Linked DNA regions of Oreochromis niloticus. The protein of the gene in region 3 purifies or fractionates together with the protein of the main gene of each other region. This does not show direct contact. Links are inferred from orthologs where the notes say so. Each region holds a gene or a part of one and is shown on either strand. Other genes may lie near its edges.

Region 1 (7,425 bases), on a different chromosome or scaffold from region 3:
TGAACCAAATAAAAAAGAAATAAGAAGAAAACTGAAAAACGAGGAATTCATTTGACAGTTTTTGTCAAAAGCTTTATACGGAAAATGATTAAAACATGTTTTGAAACAAAGATCAGAGTGAAGCCTGCAGAAAAAAGGCTCCTCGTCTCCTGCAATAAACTCAGCAGTACATACATAATGTTTGTTTTTGTTTTTCCTGCGCTTGTTCCATTTCTCTACACTCAAACAGCGCGCACACACACACACACGCACACACACACACACTACAGACCTCCGTCTATCAGGGGTTCTGGGAGGTTCGGCTCTTTGCTCCTCAGGTTTCTGTTTGCTGAACTGAAGTTTTCACAGAGACGATGACTTATCCTGACCCCGGCACTACAACGCTACTACTAAGGTATTGTCCCAGATTTCCTCTGAACAGGACGGTGCCAGCAGCATCTGACCAATCACAGTTACTGATAAGTGTACTGGCAGCAGATAAGATGACTATTCAATGAAAGGTGAAACTACTCGTAATAAAGACTGAAAGTAGAAAAGAGCGACGATATCATTAAAGTTTAGTAAGTAGTAGGAAGGAATTTGAGGCAGTCTTAAAGAATCCATGGTAAGCTGTAAAGATGTAATTACAAAGTTAGGGTAAAGTGGGCCGTAGCTACTCTGTCCTGTCTAAGCATCTTGAGGCAACTGTTGCTGAAACTGTTGGAAAGAAAGCCGGTAAAATGCCCAATGTGTGAGCTAACGGTTAAATCAATACCACAGCTCTCTCATTAAAACACGGAGCAGTCTGATGGATTATAATCAGAGTGCGTCATTAACTTAATGCTTAGTTTTTTTTCTTCCAGCCTTTGCAGTGTTTAATGTGTCCATTGTGTGTTGGGCTGTTATTCAGCTACTGCTTCTATCAGGGCTCTAGACTAACTTTGTGCCAAAAAGTTAGGCGCACTCAAATTTTTCAACCGCATCGCTTAACACCGCAGTTTTACATGTGCACTTTCTTTGGGGGGGAAGTCCATACAGACAATATTCATTTCTAAATTATTAACTAACAAACTTGTGCTTAAAGTGCTTTGTCAATATTGTAGAAAATGTTAAACTTAATCATCATCTCGGCTCCTCTGACGACCTGTTTGCTGCTGCCTGCTGCTGAAAGGCAGTGAGGAGAGGGGACACTTGGGCAGTGCATTTATTGCAGCATATAATGTGTTTTCTGGATACACTGCTGCTTTTTCAGCATTCAAAGATTGATGGCACCGTGTCAGAGCTGGCTATGAATTTCAGACGGATCAGTCCTTAACTTAACACAAAAGTTATCAATAGTTCTTTTCATCTTTTCTTATTCCCCACAGCTACATCCACTTCTGTCAGGCCTAGGCTGCTCACTAGGGCTGGGTATCATCACTGATTTCTATAATCCATTCGATTCCGGTTCTCAAAGTCCTGATTCGATTCAATTTAGCCTCAGACAGTCAGAAATATCATAATTCTGGTCATTTATCAGCACTGATACACATGAGACTTCATCAGAGATGTGAACATCACAGCAGATGCCTTTGTGTCAAAGTAACTGAGAATAAAACAGAAAAACATGAAGGAGATTTTCCTGGTCTGGCGTTTTATAGCAGATAACCTTAAAAATATTCTGCAATTTTGCATAATTTTAAGAAGTTTAAATTTCTTCAGTATTGAACAGCAGAAATTAGGCTTTCTTGTCCGAGGTCATTTAAGTGGAAAAAAGAAAAAGAAAAGAAAAAGACAGCGGCCGACAGCGCTGTAAACAACGGTAGACTGGTGGGTAATAAGCCAATGAATAATGCAGAAAACAGAGATTTGAGACGGGAAACTGATCTTGATGTACAGAGAGAGAGAGAGAGAGAGAGAGAGAGGGAGCTGTGCATGAAGTGTGATTTTTATCGTGGTGGAAGCAAAACAGCAAAAGTCAGAGGGAATTCATGACGACATTGATCACATGTGAAGCGTAGTTTGCTGCTTCTTTTGCTGCTGGCTCGGCGAATTTTGGTTGGAGAGACAAAACCTGCAGCTCAGAATCAGCGCAAATAAGACGGAAACACAGCGCAGACCCGACGCATCAGAATCGCTGAGCTCCGACAGCGTGTCCGTGTTCGGGCCGTGGGGTAAGAAAGCCGAGAAAGACAAAGCTGATTCTGATGCGTCGGTCCGCTCTGTGTTTACGCATTTGCGACCAAATTGGTCGCACTCTAGAGCCCCGTCTATTCTCTTCAAACACGCTATTTAAATCTCAAGTGTCTCTTTTTCCCAGTTAAACAAAAAGAAAATTAATCCAACTTTAATTTCAGTCACATTTCAACTTCCACTGATTGTTAAAATTCGATTATTCAGGTGAAGTCAGCGTTGTGATCGTCAGCACAGCAGTCTCTAATGCCGAAGAAACTCGCTGCTGTCAGCCATGCAGAGGAACAGCACCCACCTTCCTTCTTGATTTTATCGTTGATGTTGTTGATGTAGATGGTGTGGTTCGGTCTGATGTCCATGGTGGAGTCTGAGGAGACAACAGGAGAGCAGCTTCAGCTTCTTCAGTGTTCAACTCCACCTCTAAGCCTCGTTTACCCGTTTAACACCCGAGCTTACCCACGTTCCTGCTAATGTCTCGGTAAACTCACACAACCAGAGCAGAAACAAATCGTTTAAGTTACACTTGAAAACTCGCTGTTTAAGGAGCTTTGGCTAAATCAAAAGCTTCAGCTTGAATTCATTCAAAGGTTCCCAGAAACCTCCCTCACTCAGCTAATGTTAGCATGTGTTAGCTTAGCCCAGCTAGCCTTTAAACTAAATGTTTTTTTCCGGCGTCGCTTTAACGTCAAAAATCACCTTTACAGATTTAACCTCCGCCCGCGCAGCTCCTTTGTTAAACCGCGGTGAGAGGAGCCTCGGATAAACGTTTTTAACATAAATATGGAACTCACCTCCTCTCGGCTCACACCGCTCATGAAGTTTCCGGAAACACTCCGCTGTGGCGCCGGCTGAAGCTTTAACGACCTCTGCCCTCCGCCGCCACCAGGAGGCCAGGAGGAGAACTGCAGCTACCTGTGAGCTTATTACAATTCATTAAATCTAAACTAAAATCAGAATCAGAATACTTTATTAATCCCTAAGGAAATTACGTGGGTCACAGTTGCAGTAACAGACTAAACTATTTAAATAATACATGTTACAGAGTTTACAACTCAGAATCAGAATCAGAATCGTGTTTATTGGCCATGCGCAGACACATACAAGGAATTTGGTTCCGGTAGATGGTGACTCTCAAGTACAACAATGTAAAACACACACACACACACACACACACACACACGTGTCTATATATACATTAAACATGCATACATATACATACACAAAGCTGTATAAACCAACTATAAATAAACAATCTAAACTTATATACATAGAATACAGGATGACAGAAATGAAATGAGGTGGAATGAATACTACAGAATGTACATAAGGAGCAGGTGCAGTCTGGCAGTGGGAGCAGTGTGACAGGTCAACTGTTTAGGAGGGAGATGGCGAGGGGAAAGAAAGTGTTCCTGTGGCTTCTGTACCGTCTGCCAGAGGGCAGCAGGTCAAAGAGTCTGTGTCCAGGGTGTGAGGGGTCTGTGATGATTCCTGCCCGTTTCCTGGTTCTTGAGAGGTACAGATCCTGGATGGAGGGCAGGGGGGCGCCGATGATCCTTTCTGCTGCCCGTACAGTCCGCTGCAGTCTGCTCCTGTCCTGTTTGGTGGCTGCACCTTAACAGACTGTGATGGAGGAGCACAGGACAGACTCAATGACTGCAGTGTAGAACTGGATCAGCAGCTCCTGTGGAAGACTGTACTTCCCCAGTTGTCTCAGGAAGTACATCCTCTGCTGGGTCTTTCTGAGGATGGCGTTGATGTTGGTCTCCCACTTCAGGTCCTGGGAGATGGTGGTACCCAGGAACTTGAAAATCTCCACAGTGGACACCGGGCTGACTGATATGGTGAGGGGGGGCAGAGTTGAGGGATGTCTCCTGAAGTCCACTGTCATCTCTACAGTTTTAAGAGTGTTCAGCTCCAGATTGTGCTGACTGCACCAGAGTACCAGCTGCTCAACTTCCTGTCGGTATGCAGACTCATCACCATCCTGAATGAGGCCAATGACGGTGGTGTCATCTGCAAACTTTAGGAGTTTAACAGCCGAGTTCTTGGAGGTGCAGGCATTAGTGTAGAGGGAGAACAGTAGTGGTGAGAGGACACATCCTTGAGGGGCACCAATACTGAGGGACCGAGTTTCAGAGGTGATCTCCCCCAGCCTCACTTGTTGCTTTCTGTCTGTCAGGAAGCTGGTGATCCACTGACAGGTAGCTGGTGACACGCTGAGCTGGGAGAGTTTGGAAGAGAGAAGTTCAGGCACGATGGTGTTAAAAGCCGAACTAAAGTCCACAAACAGGACCCTGGCATAAGTTCCCGGGCGGTCGAGGTGTTGCAGGATGTAATGCAGCCCCATATTCACTGCATTATATAAGAAATAGCACTAATGTATACAAATAGCTCAATTTAGATATCAAGAATATTACAGAGGTGAGAATATTAGAGGGGTGGAATATATATGGTTGACATTTGACTCTAACCTGTGAACATTTTCTATTTCAAGTACCTCGGGCTGTGGGTGGACAACAAACTGGACTGGTCATGCAACACAGAGCACCTGTATAAAAAAGGCCAAAGCCGACTGTACTTCCTCAGGAGGCTGAGGTCTTTTAACATCTGCAGGAAGCCCCTGAGGATGTTTTACCAGTCAGTGGTTGCAGGAGTACTTTTCTATGCTGTGGTGTGCTGGGGGAGCAGCACAGCAAAGAAGGATCATCCAGGCTGGAAAAACTGATCAGGAAGGCTGGCTCTGTGGTCGGCATGAAGCTGGACACTCTGGTGTCAGTGGCAGAGAAAAGGACACTAAAAAAACTGCTGGACATTATGGACAATGCTGGGCATCCTCTGCACACGGCCATAAACAACCAGAAGAGTCTGTTCAGTGACAGGTTGCTTCTTCCAAAGATAAGAACCAACAGACTTAAAAACTCCTTTGTCCCACACGCCATCAGACTGTTTAACTCCTCTCTGGAGGGGAGACAGGGTGACAAAGGAGGGGGGGACAACTAAGCTGTAGTGCCTCTTCACTTCACTGTGCAATACGAAAGTATTGCACAGTGAAGTGTTAATATCCAACGGTGCAATAGACTCATAATACTTGAAATGTGCAATTCCCTTGTATTCTTATTCCTATTTATTCTATTTATCCTTTTGTATTCTCTGTATTTATATATGTGTATATATGGTATATTTCTGCTCACATTCTGTAACTTCTGTCGGTGCAGTGCTATTGGAAACCGAATTTCCCGGAGGAACCCACCCGAGGGATTAATAAAGTTTTATGTAATCTAATCTAATCTATTCTATTTTACTGTTTTACAGTGTGTTAGATGGAGGAGTTGTACAGGAAGTTGTACACAGGCAGGAATGATTTCCTGTGTCGTTCACTGGTGCTTTTTGGTAATCTCAGTCTCTCACTGAACTTGCTCCTGTGACTAGCCAGCACGTCATGGAGTGGGTGGGAGGTATTATCCAACATTGTCCCTATCTTGGACAACATCTGGCTCTCAGACACCACCCTAAGGGAGCCCAGCTCCATCCCCACAACATCACTGGCCTTGTGATCAGTTTATTGGCATCTGTTGGCATCAGTGACCCTCAACCTGCTGCCCCAGCATGCAACAGGAAAAGCAAAAGCTGAGACATCCAAGTGCTCACTGAAATAAATTGTTAGAAATAAAAAAAACAGCCCTCAGAGGTGTCTGCACAGGCCAAACTATTCCATCTTCCAGGGCAGCACTTATTTTCAGTCAGATAAAAAAACAATGCAAAAAAAATCTGAAGTTTTCTTAATTTTGCATTTTCAATTTCAGTCAATTAAAAAAATTGTCAGATATTTTTTGTTTGGATCTAAATCTAGTTCTAAAATTATTATTAATCAGATTTTGCTTCCTGTATACTTATTGTTTCATATAAAACCTCAAATGTCTGTTTTTTATGAGTACATATATATATGTATCTATCTATCTGAGATAGATAGATACATATGACCCCAGTTATTAAAAGATGTACATTAAAGTCTCTCTTGTCCTGTATTTCTTCTCGCTGGATGCTGGATCATTTCCCGTCCGTCCGGAGGTGTGTCCCCTCCTGGCTTCCATACATCCCGATGTTTTTTACCACCTGATGCCGGCTAGCAGGCTAACAGCTAGCAGCGACCGCAGGTCTGAGGCAGCGGGACAGCGACTCGGTGTCAGCGGACCCTGATAGCATCCACCTCCTCCCGAGACCCCCCTCCGCCCCCATCTGTGCGCTTTGAACCATTCTCCGCACTCCGCTTTTATCTGTGCGACTTTTGCCCCGTGTATCCGCTCGCCTGTTAGCTGATAGCGGTCGTAAAGCGGCTCCTCTCCGCGGAGCGGCGGACAGCAGCGGGATGAGCCATGGCGTCGGTCCGGGTGGCTGTGCGGGTCCGGCCCATGAACAGGCGGTGAGTGACTTTAAGTTTACCACGGTTCATGTTCACGGCTGACATCATCGCCTCACCTGTGTGTACCTGAGAACTTCCGCGGGCTCACCTTGAGAAGTCTGCAGGGATCGGGGGGAGGCCCTCAGGGGCCCCAGGTTTACCCTACCTACAGCACAGCCGTCCCCGTCTCTGAAGTCAGGGTTAAAATGTGGTCTGGTTTCATTTGATTGTGTTTTATTCCGGGGACAGTCTGAGTATCAGGAGGTTTTTGATGTTTGAGTCCCAGTTTGGTGTATTATGATCACTGAAGCCTCCTCAGGACGTCAGACAGATCTCAGCAAAGTGCAGTTTTGATTATTGTTGTCTTTGTTTGTTGTTCCAGCTGGTTTTATTCGTCTTTGGTGGACACGATAACCTAGATCCTGACTCTTTGTGTTATGAGTCAGAGTTATTCTGATTATGGGGATTACGAGCAGACCCTCCTCTGCAGGTTTGTGCTGACAGATTTGATCAAACTGGAGGCCAAACAGAGGTTTCCTCTATGTTTTTATATTTTAGGTCAGCGTTGCTTTACTTCTTTCCTAAAGTATAGATATCATTTTTATTTAGTTCCCACAGCAGCTTGGTTCATGTCAGGTGGCTGTTTTTAGTCGTAGCTGTGACCGTGAGGACTCAGCCCGCCTGCTGACATTTTATTTTTGCCTCAGTCAGATTTAATAACCCGGATATCGACTCTCTGCCAGGCCGTCATTGTTCCAGCTTCATATTTTAAGTCTGCAGCTTTGCATGATTTTTGTGTGGGGCTGAAGGGCGGTGCAGCAGGGTGGGGTGAGAAAAATCCACACCTGTCAGATTCCTCATTGAAAGATTACAAA
Region 2 (6,285 bases), on a different chromosome or scaffold from region 3:
AACCACAATATAAGAGAGAGACTGAAGCCCCTCACTGAAAGAGGTCAAGGGTTAAAGGGGGTTTCTTTTACTCGCCACCCATCTGTACCTTTTTAAATCATTACTAAAAACAGATCCTGACATTTTTTACACTGAAAATGTTATTTCATTTTGGCTCTTGCCCCTGTGTTCAGCAGTCCACAGAAAGTGGGAGTATTTATACCATTAATGGTAACAGCTCAGGTCTTTGTGTATAAAAAGCATCATGCATTGCCAGCTGGAAGAAGAAGCTAAGAGAAGAGAAGAGAACGAAGACACTGAGATTTAGCAAACACTGCCACTGACTCACTGCTGATGTTAAGAGGGAAAACGTCCTGAGCAGATTTTGTTAAGAGGAAAAACCTCAACAAGTAACAAGACAGACTTCACATCAAAATGGAATCAAAAGCTCAGAGTTGTTTAGTGAGCTTTAATTTAAAAAAAATCCTTTCCAGTGACACCTCTTCATTTCCCCATTTTTATGACGTGTTCACTGATTATTTAAAAATCTTGAACACCAACAAAGCAGTCATAGAAAAAAAGTATAAAATTGAGTTTTATTGACAAATCAAACAAAGGTTTTTTTGTGAGTTTTAAAGAAAATCTGAAAGACTAAACGTTGCACTGGGTCGTCGTGGTCGTGTTCACCTCTTCTTGAAGCCGTACTTCTTTCGTTCATAGAACAGATCTGTTTTGGAGCTGCCCAGGTTTACAATCTTAGGACATCCATCTCGCTGGAGAGAGAGAAAGAAATTTTTTATCTTAAAGAACAAGTCTCTTGGATATTTTGCTGCTTCAGTATCCAGTGTCAAAGTGAAGAGAGGAGCGGGAAACTCACATCTTTCTCCTGGATGGTGCATTCTTTGCAGTAGTAGGCGTCAGACACACCAGGCCCTCCACATATGACGCAGCGCCCCTGATAGGAGCCGTAGTTACACTCATCGCAAATACGCACCAGTGTGCACGGTCTCACGTAGGAATCACAGATGACACACTTTCCATCACCTGGACAGAGAAGAGAGGAAGAAGAAAGGTTTAAACTTATACTGGAGGAATTTGAGTTTAGAGTTGTTTGTGTATTTTGTTTTCTTTTGGACTAAATAGACAATAACAATAACAATTTACAGATATAGTGACTATGTTGACTGTAGAGTGTACAAATAAAACAACAGCAATAAAATTAATGATTAAAACTAGAGATTAACATCTATACTCTGGCTTATTTTCAAAAGCAGGGATTTAAAAGTCTGTAGTTTTAGAGATTTGAAAGAAACACAGGGTAAGTAAATATTACTGGTGTAATAAATTAAAAACACACACAGATTAAATCCTGATTGTTATGAACGTGGTTATAAAAATAAAATTAGCTGATTAAACTTGTAGTTAAATAAATGAAACAAAAATATGACATAAACAGACCTTAACACTAGTTTAAAACACATGCCGCTTGTTGTTCCAGATATTACTCACAGATAAAAACACTTACATTTCTCACAGAGTCTCCCGATAGCTGCGGGATAGAAACAAAACAAAGTGAGTCAATGTGACAGGAATTCACACAAAAAACAAACCCCACTTTCTTCTAGTTACGATACCCTTCTAGCCACCAGAGCCCACAGACCTGCAAACACTTCCAGGCTAACACATTTTCAATGAAATCCACGCCATGTTAGCATGGATGCTAACGCTATGACCTACGAAACAACAACAAGGGACTTCCGGCTGCAGCAAAATCCACTGTGCCGAATACTGAAACGTAAAATGAGTCCAAACTTACCAACACCAGCTTGTTTTCGACAGAAGATCAAATCTGGATGATGTTTAGCCATCTTAGGTTTACGTAAGTAAAGCGCTTCTCTTTCTTTTTCTTCTTCTTCTGCTGCTGCAGCTGGTTTTTCTTCTTCTTTGTCGTTTTTGGCGGTTGGCAAACAACGATGTGGTACATTACCGCCACCAACTGTCCACAAGTGTGGACCGGAATTCGCTCATATCAAATAATCGGAAAATAAATACAATAAATAAATACTACAGGATATATATATGTCCTCATATCCTTTCACACAAATGAGTTTGTTTTAGAAACTGAAATAAAGCCATAAAACTTTCACATCTAGAATTCCTTTGCAATAAATCCTTTATATCTAGCTTAATCCCCCCAGATTTTGAATCAGTTGTGTTCTTTCTTCCTGTAATTTTGATTTTGGTTTAATTTATTCCACGGCGATTACATTTCCCTGTTTGATGTTGCCCTATAATGAATAGCGTACTGTTTAATCCAGTGTGGCCAGATCTGAATCAAGATATTATTGTCTCCTCTCTCCTGGTCCTCCCTGTGCTTCTCATGTTTCTTGTTTTCCTTTGAATAGAATAAAACCATCTCCCTGTCCTCTCCTCCTCCCACAGCTTTTTGCCCTATTTCCCACATTATCTGTTTTATTGTGCTCTTCATTTCAGCGTTGCTAATACTGATATTTAAACTTGATCTCCTTTAGCAGCCTAATATTAATTTGATCTATTTGGATTTCTATTGTTTTCCAGGTTGCTGTCCATCCAAAGCTCTTTGACTCCTTTACCTCCTTCTGCCAACAAGGTTTAATTGTTTCCATTGTGGGGTGATCTTTTCATGGGAAAAAATTGAAGATATGACACACTGATGCAATGTGAAGTAGTCAGTGTACAGCTTGTATAACAGTGTAAATTTGCTGTCACCTCAAAATAACTCAACATACAGCCATTAACATCTGAACTGCTGGCAACAAAAGTGAGTACACACCTAGGTGAAAATGTCCAAACTGTCCCCAAAATATCAATATTTTGTGTGGCAACCATTATTTTCCAACACTGCCTTAAAGCGTTATGGCTTGCTAATCACCTGCATGTGCTCCAGAGCAGTGCATCTCGAGATGCTTGACGATTTCTCTCCAGATTCCTTCATCAACTCCTTACGTGCATTCATAGCCATCAGAGGTACAGTTCTCCGGATAAGATGCAATCAAGGCACAAACTATGTCGGCACAAGCAATGATTTACTGAAGAATTTAAAGAAATACATCAAGCAAAACTTTGAAAACTGGACCGCGAGTTTCTCATCAACACCCCAGCACGTAGTCATATGAGTGGTGTCTGGGAAAGACAAATTCGCATTCGCAAAGTGTACTCACATCAGTTCTTGAACAATGAGCCAAACAACTTGACAGCTCCTCTCTAAGGACATTCCTGTATGAAGTCATGGCAGTGATTAATAGCAGACCATTGGCTACTGACCAACTATGTCATACCTATGGTTGTCCCCACACCTAGGGACACCTTGCTGTCCTCTGCATACTGCTGCTATATGCCCATATCTCTGACCTTTGTAGCATCTAGAGAGGGAGGGATATATGGCCTATCTGTAAAACACATGCATCCTATTTTGACTTTTTCTGGAAGGGTAGGACCTTGAAACTTAAACATCACTGACAAGCTATCAACTCTTTCCCCATTGACTGTTCTTAATAGTCTTTTAACTCGACTCACTTCCAGACCTTGAATGCTCCGTTTTAGTTTTTCAGGATTCTCATCCACCGGAATCCCTGTTATGACCCTCTTGTTGTTTTATTCTCTCCTTCAGGCATCCTTTCTACTACATCTTTATACATATGTTCTCAATACGCATTATTATTTTTTTCCTCCTCCCTCTTACGTGCTATCAACAAGTTCCTGTCTCTTAGGATTCTTGCTTGTTGGACATCCCCTATCTTCTTTTTCAGTTCCCTCGATACTGCACTTGGACTTAACTGCATGTTCTCATCCTCCTTCCTAAACTTCAGTATTATTTTGAATTCCTCTCTTACTATCGTCTTCCGAACTACAGCACTCCCTTCATCTGAACTTCTGCTATCGCCCGTTTCTAATTTGGCATTCCAACCAAATTTTCATCCTCTCCCCACTTACTACCTCGTCCTCGTCCTTTCCTACCTACCTTATCATCCTCATCCTCTACCTGAGTTGACATTTCAGTCCTGTCACAAGCCAGCTTATGCCATCCGCTGTCCACCTTCTTGCCCAGCTGCTGAGCTCGGCAGCACCACCCGAGTCCTTGCTCCGGATCATAACATAGAAAATTGGGGGCAATTTGACCAGTTCAATTCAGTTATTCAAATAATCGCTAGCTGCAACAGTAAAGTGGTTTACATGTGAATGAATCAATAGGTATGAGTCCATGATCTAATATGCAGTCAGGGGAAAAAGAAAGTTCACCCTTACTGAAGCAGTCATGTGAATTCAGAAGGATGTTCTCTGTTTCGTCATCGTCAGGTTGTTTCTCAGTCGTTGTTTTTCCTGCTTTGTGCTTTTGTTTCAGTTACTGTTACTTCAGTTTACCACGGGCCCCGCTGTTCCCTGTGTGTTGTCAAGCCTCTGCCTGTGATGTTACCCGATTTTAGTTATTTCCTGTTTCATTTTGGCAACCTTTGTCTTGTGCGTTTGGTATTTCGTTTTACCTTCCCTGTCTTCTTTTCCTCATTAGATGCAGTTGTGTTTCCTGTTACCTGATGTGTTTATATTGTGTCAGTCTCCCCTTTGTCATGCCCTCCCTGGATGGTTGTGTTTTTCCTTATTTCACGTTTCCCTGAGATTTCTAGTTTTTGTTATTGTTTGCTCCTGATGAACTCCTTGTTTTTTGTCTTTCTGAAAGTTGAGCATTAAAGCTGTCCTTTGAGCTGATGTTCTGTCTCAAGTTGTGCGTTTGTGTCCACATCCTGCCTGGCACACAGACGAATTTTGACACTCAGACTATACGGGCTTCAGCTAGCATGTTAAAGTTTATGACAGTACAATTAGTGTCATGGTTGGCTGTGTGGCAGGCAGGCAGGCAGGAAAAAGGACCCAAAATGCAGGACTCTTGGAGACGGAACTTTAAACTCAAAGCGCAGCTTTATTGCTGGGAAAAACAAAACAAAACTTTGGACAGATGAACTAAGGACTGAAACACTGGAAGAGGAATTCTAAACAGGAGCATGAGCCAAAGAGCAGGTCCGGAGGCCGACCGCGCGGGAGGCAGTGGCGGCAGCGACAGAGCAGGTCCGGAGGCCGACTACGCGGGAGGCAGTGGCGGCGGCGGCGACAGAGCAGGTCCGGAGGCCGACCGCGCGGGAGGCAGTGGCGGCGGCGACAGAGCAGGTCCGGAGGCCAACCGCGGGGAAGGCTGCGGCGGCGACGAGGCAGGTCCAGAGGCCGACCGCGCGGGAGGCAGTGGCGGCGGCGACAGAGCAGGTCTGGAGGCCAACCGCGCGGGAGGCAATGGCGGCAGCGACAGAGCAGGAGGCAGTGGCAGCGGCGACAGAGCAGGTCCAGAGGCTGACCGCGCGGGACGCAGTGGCGGTAGCGACAGAGCAGGTCCGGAGGCCGACTGCGCGGGAGGCAGTGGCGGCGGCGGCGACAGAGCAGGTCTGGAGGCCGACCGCGCGGGAGGCAGTGGCGGCGGCGGCGACAGAGCAGGTCCGGAGGCCGACCGCGCGGGAGGCAGTGGCGGCGGCGGCGACAGAGCAGGAGGCAGTGGCGGCGGCGACAGAGCAGGTCCAGAGGCTGACCGCGCAGGACGCAGTGGCGGTGGCGACAGAGCAGGTCCGGAGGCCGACCGCGCGGGAGACAGTGGCGGCGGCGGCGACCTCGTTCAGGGGCCGCCCTTGACGGTGATGACGTCCAGCTAGAGGCCTGGAAAGTGGCTGGCAGAGGTGAGGTGATCCAGGGAGAGCTGGATCAGACGGTGGTGTAGCATCCGCAGGACCAGGCAAGGTCGGACCAGGCACGGCAGAGGCAGGACCAGGTGCGGCAGCATGGCAGCTGCGGAACCAGGCGCGGCAGCGTGGCAGCTGCGTAACCAGGTGGCAGCGTGGCAGCTGCGGAACCAGGCGGCAGCGTGGCAGCTGCGGAACCAGGCGTGGCAGCTGCGGAACCAGGCGGCAGCGTGGCAGCTGCGGAACCAGGCGTGGCAGCTGCGGAACCAGGCGGCAGCGTGGCAGCTGCGGAACCAGGCGGCAGCGTGGCAGCTGCGGGTGGTGGCGCTGCAGGTGATGGAGTGGAAGCCCCTGACGAAGGCACTGCAGGCAATGCAGGAGGTGGCAGATAGGATTCAGAGCCGTCAGCGGTCCTTAGCTGGCCGAATGAGCTCACTAGAGCTTCCAGCGTACTCATGTACACATTCAAAGTCCCAAATAAACATGTCCATCAAAACCTCATCAGGCAAGCTGCGATAATTTAATTCATTTTTAATTTGACTAACAAATG
Region 3 (7,097 bases):
ATATTCTGTTCATATTTTATAAAAATGTGAGCGCACTTTGTTCTCATTTGTGTGTCTGCTCTGCAGGGATAGTTTGGGGAACTTTAAGACCTTATACATGTTTATCAGTAACTGAGGAAATACAACAAAATACTGACTCATTAAAGCACAATTACACTTGATTTTCTGCCTTTGGCATCTAAACACTGAAAAAGTGAAGACTGAAAACAAAGGATTACAACAAAGTTAAAAAAAGCCTCACCCGCTGTATTTACAGCCTCAACAACACGTCTGCTTCATCTCAATGTAGCATAAATGCATTTAAGTGAATGAGGGGGGTAGTGCTACAGCTACCCTGTTCCTCTCACTCTAGCTCTGCTATCATCAGGAAAGCAATGACACAGCTCTCATCACCATCATATTGGATGTTTTGCTGTGTCAATCACCAGCTGGCTGTTAGTTCATGTCAGCAGTCATACTGTCGGCTCAAATGCAAGATTAAGAAGCCTTGAAGCTATCTATGTAGCTTGAGGGAACAGAGTTACTTTCAGGGACCTCCAAGAACCATTTGGTCCGGAAGACCTTTGTGCCTGCAGTGATGTAATGCTCATACGTACTCTGTTTGCGTTGTAGTAGAGGACCACGAGGTAACGATTGCAGACATTGAAGCCTGACAGGTGGTCACAGGCGTTCTTGGCATCAAAGATGTCTTCATATACGACATAAGCTGTTCCTCTTGTTTCAGGCGTGTTCCCTCTATGAAAAAACATCAGACACAGGAAATCATTACAAGACCTACACCTGATGGTGAGTAACAGTGGGGCATTTTCCTGTTTTCTTAGCACTCTCTTATTTTCTGTGTTATTATTGGATACACATGACAACAGGGTGGTTTGTTTATTAAGTGTTATAACTCCTCTGAGCTGAATAAAGTGGACTTTTTTTTTTAATTATTACTTTACTGGCCAGGACATCCAGGAGCTCTCTCGCTGCAAGACAGGGATTATACAACCTTTGGGACATGCCAGTATAGTAACCTTATAGTTCTGGGGCCGTGCATGTGCAGCTGGTGCCATTGCACTGAACAATCACATGGACAGGTCTGCATAAAAGCAAATAACAGTGTGCACACAGGTTGGTTGGGTTTTATGTTCTTGAAGAACCCTGGCAGAGTCAGAGCTCTGGTCAGGACCATCTTTCTTCTCATCAGCAGTGGAACTTTTAGCAACCTCATCGTCACTAACCTTAGGCTGACTGAATTTAAAAAACACTGTGATTTTAGCCGTTATTTACTTGTTTGAGGTTATGGTCAGACTATCTTTGGATTTATACTGTTTTTGACTTGTTGTGGGGGTTTTACTGGAATGAACTGTCATCAGATCCAGGGACATTCGCTTAAATTTGCCCACTGCCTGCATGCTGAAAACACAACTTTAAGAAAGCGTGCTACATTTGCTAAATATTTCCCCCCTTTATCCCGATTGGGGATAAAGGGAGGAAAGGAGAGTTTCCTTCATGGAGCAGTTTTTAACCAAATGGCTTTAAGAAAAGATCTTAACTGGAGATATTAAAAAAAAGTTTAGCTAGAAGCTCCAGGCTAATACAAGAGTCCAGCAGACAGGGGCAACCCTGTCTGCTGGACCTGTTTAGAGGAAAGGCTTCAGAAATTCAGTCGTGGTGGTCATAGGTTGCGGTTTTTTGCGGTCAGTGCTCTAACTCAATAAAATTACCATCAAATTCAAATTTAGATAAGACTTTGAACAAATAATGTGTTCCATAATACAAAACTATTAGATGAGGAAGGACAATTTGTTTTGCAAAATAGCGTAATTTCTTTACGAATGAATTATAAAACCCCCATTTAATTTATAAAAAGCATTTTTACAGCAAAAGAAGGAATTAGGGTTTCAAAAAATATGGCACCTCTTCCTCTGAGGCTGCTATTTTTTTGGGTTTTGGTCCGTCTATTCTCACTGTGAACACACTAATGTACTTGTTTTTTACGGCGTTATCAGTTCTGTGACTAGTTAGCTAATGTATACTAAAGTAGCAGGAACATGTAGTGTTTTTATGTCCACTTTAAATAATAGAGAGACTTGAATAACATTTATAGATATTGATCAAAAATAGACAAAGACAGATAAACGTGGAGTCCAACTCCAAAATATGACTTTTTTAAAGCATCACTCTCTCTCTCTCTCACACACACACACACACACACACACAAACAAACACACACACACACACACTTCTTCATGCACTTCAACTGCTATTTCTGAAAATCTACAGTGAAACACTTACGTTCTGATTTGTCGTATTGGTCCATATTTCCCAAAGATATCATACATTTCCTCTGCTGTGATCTTATAAGGAAGATTCCGGACATACAGGATTCTGTTCACCTCAGGAGGTAATCGGATCTACAGCACAAAACAAAAAACAATAAAACAGTTCGGGTAAATAAACACTGTTGAGGTTACAACTAGCGACGAGCATTCAAAGAGTATTCAACACAAAGCTACTGAGGAAACGTAGCTTGTAGACATTTAACTCAAACTTTGTCGGAGTTAGGTTAAATCAGTGGTAAACTGTTTTATTTTCAGACAAACTTCATGGCTTCCTATTTTATTTTACCCACCGGCCCCGTCAACCCCCTGCTGCCCTTACATATATAACTCAGATATTTAAACCAACGACCACAGCCCGAACAGCATCAATCATCTCAGACAGAAGATGACTTTAACTGTGTGCTAAAGAGCGACATCATAAAAAGCACCAACAAGAAAAGTTACTATACAGTGTTGTTGTTTTCATTTTGCTAACGTGCTAAGCGGCTAACCGTACGCTAACACACGCTAAGGATAGCTTTGAAGCTAACTGAGCTAATGTTTTTGAAGCTCTATTTATCCCAAAATTCACAGTCCCACTTTTTCACACTTACATTAGCGCGTTTTGCTGCTTGCATAGCCATTGTGACGGGTTGTTTTGTTCAAATTAAACCTACGAACGATAAACACGCAGTCCCACCAGGCTCTCGGCTCTTCTCGTCAAAATGGCAACGGAAGCTGATTGGTGACGTACTTCCGATTTCCGATTGAACGCAAGCTTTGGAGTTGACGTCACGCCGCAATGCATCGTGGGAGCGCGGCGCCATTTTCGGGTCTACGAATCCAAACAAACACACTGTGTTGGAACGACGACGACAAGAAAAATGCTTAAAAACAGCTCAAAAGAGAATGGACTGTATGGAGACCGATTGCGTCCAGAGGCGAAGCGACGGTACCTGCAGAAATCGCGTGCACTGGAAATGTGGACCCGTATGAAATACGGCCGTGGAGTAGAAACCCTGAAGACCAACCGCTATTGACGTAGCCTGACATATTTTCATACCTTGTCTGTGGAGTCAGCGCGTACAAGTCGTCATTCAAACAAAGGTAAGTCTGCTCGAGTACTGCGAGTGAAATGCGTTTGATTTCCCTCCGAACATTCAGATTAGTGCAGCATAAATTCATTCATGAGGGGAAATTACAGTGAGAACATGTGGAGGCTGTTAGAGGGATAATACAGTGAGTTCAGTGCATTGATGTGACGTTGTCCTGAAGGATTTAGTTATTCTTTATGGTTAAAGAAATTGCAAGAATTTATTCATATTTGTTATAAATAATTCTAATTATACATCTTGCTTCCATATTTGTATCCTGTGTCACTAAAAATACATCTTTAGTTTTATACATTGATTAATGACCTGCAGAATCTCCTTATCATATTAAGTGATTCATAATTGTCACTTTATGCTTTCTCCATCTCTAAAGTGATGACATCCTTGCATTACATCCTTTAGGTTCATTTTCTGCAGGCAGGTTTCTGACAGAGAACAGGCAGATTTAGAATATAAAATGCAGCGTTTTATAGATGGATGCATAAAAAAAATGAAAAATTACATGTATGTGCTAACTTTCTAAACACTTTGTTACATTTATGATAAAGTAAATAAAACACATTTGTGTCGGCCTTGGCTCATAGTTCTTGTCTTTAAATGAACTTTGTGTGTGTTTCAGGTGCTGCACTCTCAGAGACTGAATGAACCAGCATTGCAGCCATGGGTCACTGTGAGCATCACAGGGAAGGTTGAAGCCGCCCACTGCACCTGTATGGCCGGAGTTGCGGAGACCTGCACCCATGTCACTGCTCTTCTGTTTAATGTAGAAGCAACAGTGCGGATCTGTGGCACAAGGACTGTTACAGATGAACCTGCATACTGGGTTTTGCCTGGTAATATGACCAAGATACAGCCAGAGGTTGGCCATAAGATAGACTTCTCCTCTTCAGCTGCCCAAAAAAAGGCTCTTGATCAAAACATAAACAGACCATCTGTAGTGAAAGGTAAAAGGAGCCGTCCTCAAAAAAGAAAAATCCCACCTGCTACTGTGGAGGAGTTGTCACTGCTATTGGATACTTTGCTGGAACACAGTAAAGCTGTGGGTCGTGGGAATGACACATAATGTTTTATTTAGGGGTCTAGATTTATGCCTGTAGTGCACTGCCATGTAAATAATTTGCATTTACTGAATATGTACTGACTGAGTACCACTGTTCAAAAGTTGAATAAAGAAACAAACTAATTTTTGCCTCTTTTTTTAATTTTTTTTAATTAAAACCATTTTGTAGAACATCACATCAGTTACAATGTAGAATCCATGACATTTATAGTTTATAAATGACAAAATGTTTACACAAAATCATGACAGTGTTTACATGATATCACCCACTACTTAATTTACTGTATCTTCTGAAAAATTACCCCTATTTATACAGCACAAGACTTAAGAATATTTAACAGGAGCAAGTTTCATTTTTCCCTGGTTTTACTACCACACTGTTCACCAAACGCAGCAAACCTTCACCATCTTATCCTGAAGGGTCACCTCTTCAGCCTCACATGGAAGAAGTAATCTGATTGGTGGTGTGTTTGAAGCAGGTCCCTTATGTAGCGCTGGAACCCAGTCACGATGTGTTTCATCCATTTCATAGGCTGGTTTGCTGTAATAATGCCAAATAATTAGAAACTCTATAAATAGAAGACAGTTCTGCAAAATCACTCAGTAGGATGTTTGTTCTAATTTGCTATGACCTCAGAGCTCATCGAAAATAAAACTAATAGGCTATAAAGAGTGATATGAACATATTTAGAACTTACTGGAATGAAAATGTGTGGAGCACCAACAGATATTTGGAGATGGAAGAGAGCTGGATATCAGCTCCTCTCACAGCTGCTATCCAGGCTAGACGTCTTCGTTTGGTAACATCGATACACGAGCTGCCTCATGTTGCTTCCAGGTTGGGAAAGAATGAAAAGATAAACCATTTTCAACCTTATTCTCTTGCCGGTCGTGCGATCGAAGATTGCAGCCGACCACACAGCAAGTACGAACCATGGCTGTTGTGTGTGCCTTCGCTCCTTTTTTTCGCTTGCGCTTTGTTTTGACCCAGAAAATGGCGGATCAGGCCAAAATCCTTTCCACGCCCACCCCCGTGACAGCACGCTCCAAAGCCCTCATTTTCCTAACCTGTAACGGTGTTCAGGATCACTGGATAGGTGCTAGAAGAAAAAAGAGAATTGGAACGATCTTATGTTCTGAGTCACGCTGGACATTCGCTGTGTTGAAACTACGACATGCAGAAGATGGACTACAAAATTCGCATCTATATTCTCCACAAGGCGTTTTAATCCTGATGTTTTATTCATTTAATTTAAAAGAGAACAGCATGTAAAAATAAGGTTGGAATTGTAAAGAAAAGGGACATTTAGGGTCAGATTTATGAAGAATCTACAGGACATAAAGTATTCTTTAAGCTTTTTAACCTACATTGAATTATGTTGTTAGGATAACCACTTTCTCTGTCACGCTCCCCCAATCTGTCTACTGATTTTTGAGATTTATATACTAAAAATTACTGATTTTTAGTATAGTCATTGGGACTTCTTGTTTTAGGTTTTTAGGTGCTTCCCTGCTCCACAACACTGCATTCAAATCACTATCTTGTTACCAGGCAGTTGTTGCATTTAATACCAAGCTGACCATTGGAACACAAAGTTGTACTAACTTGCAGGTAATGGGAACAATAATGTTTCATAGAGGGAAAGATTGTGATTGAACAGTTCAGCTCATTCCCTCAGGAAGGATGATGAACTTGACTGACAGTAAGAGAGTGGACCCCAGAAATTGATGTGAGAAACAGCTACGAGGTCATGGTTATCAGTTAAGAGCCATACATAAAGGGTAAGTAATAGTGGGTTTGCAAATGATATATGTACGTGTGTGTGTGTGTGTGTGTGTGTGTGTGTGTGTGTGTGTGTCAGGAACTTGTAGAAAATGCTGCAAAGGGAGATGTCTCCGTTTCGTTAGGTTCTACACCAATAGTGAAGTCAAGAATAGTCAACAGATAGAACCACATGGGCCTATAACTGTGCTCACAGACTAACTCATTCATGCATGAGCACAGCTGCACACACTTATTTGGTTGTTGGATTAAATGTTCAAATGAAAATTACTTTAATGTTTGCTAAAAAAAAAGAAAAAAAAAGAAGAAGAAGAGCTTTCGGACAAAGCCAGAGTTTTGACACTGTGCTCACAGCTTTGAGCATCCATGCATCCATGTGGCCATTACACACTGGTTCTGATGATACCTCGCTCTTCTAAAAACAACACTTCTTCTAGCAGCTATCACAGCCACAACAGGCGCAAGATATGATTTTTTTAGGTATTAGATTTCGTGCAACAGACTTTGTTGGTCACATTTGTGTGACTTATTTAAATATTCTGCCCCTTGCAGGATGACTACTCAAATCACAAGGAAATGTACCGTTTGAATACCGCACTAACAAAACAAATACTTTGGCTTCTTGATGCATTCTCAATCATCCAGGAAAGTAAATCTCCAAAAGTTGATTCTGTTCATCTGGACATAGCGTTTTGTGGGGGAAACGTTTCGTCACTCCCAGCCCATTGTTCCTTCAGTGGGCTGGTTTCAGTCATTATGCAAATGTACTGTTTATAAGGTTGGGGAAACCTGCAGTCAGCTGAGACTGAAGAAATCACTTGGATGAGTGACGAAAC

The links.
Region 1: the proteins of sf3b6 (region 3) and snrpb2 purify together in Homo sapiens (affinity purification with mass spectrometry; 4 studies listed by BioGRID and IntAct, with this or other methods). This does not show direct contact. The link is inferred for Oreochromis niloticus from reciprocal best matches to the Homo sapiens genes SF3B6 and SNRPB2.
Region 2: the proteins of sf3b6 (region 3) and phf5a purify together in Homo sapiens (affinity purification with mass spectrometry; 4 studies listed by BioGRID and IntAct, with this or other methods). This does not show direct contact. The link is inferred for Oreochromis niloticus from reciprocal best matches to the Homo sapiens genes SF3B6 and PHF5A.

Annotation. Positions count from the first base shown.
Region 1 is NC_031971.2:41,376,884-41,384,308, forward strand, and holds the start of snrpb2 (U2 small nuclear ribonucleoprotein B''), read right to left. Parts: upstream 3,057-7,425; 5' UTR 2,943-3,056; intron 2,941-2,942; exon of another isoform or gene 2,848-2,940; intron 2,751-2,847; exon of another isoform or gene 2,608-2,750; intron 2,519-2,607; 5' UTR 2,511-2,518; coding exon 2,447-2,510; intron 1-2,446. Other genes in the region: kif16ba (kinesin-like protein KIF16B), read left to right, coding at 6,525-6,571. UniProt on the Homo sapiens protein: Involved in pre-mRNA splicing as component of the spliceosome. Associated with sn-RNP U2, where it contributes to the binding of stem loop IV of U2 snRNA.
Region 2 is NC_031973.2:22,533,113-22,539,397, forward strand, and holds phf5a (PHD finger-like domain-containing protein 5A), read right to left. Parts: upstream 1,953-6,285; 5' UTR 1,848-1,952; coding exon 1,796-1,847; intron 1,529-1,795; coding exon 1,505-1,528; intron 1,024-1,504; coding exon 857-1,023; intron 753-856; coding exon 663-752; 3' UTR 557-662; downstream 1-556.
Region 3 is NC_031980.2:1,150,696-1,157,792, forward strand, and holds the start of sf3b6 (splicing factor 3B subunit 6), read right to left. Parts: upstream 3,070-7,097; 5' UTR 2,951-3,069; coding exon 2,921-2,950; intron 2,400-2,920; coding exon 2,281-2,399; intron 736-2,280; coding exon 597-735; intron 1-596.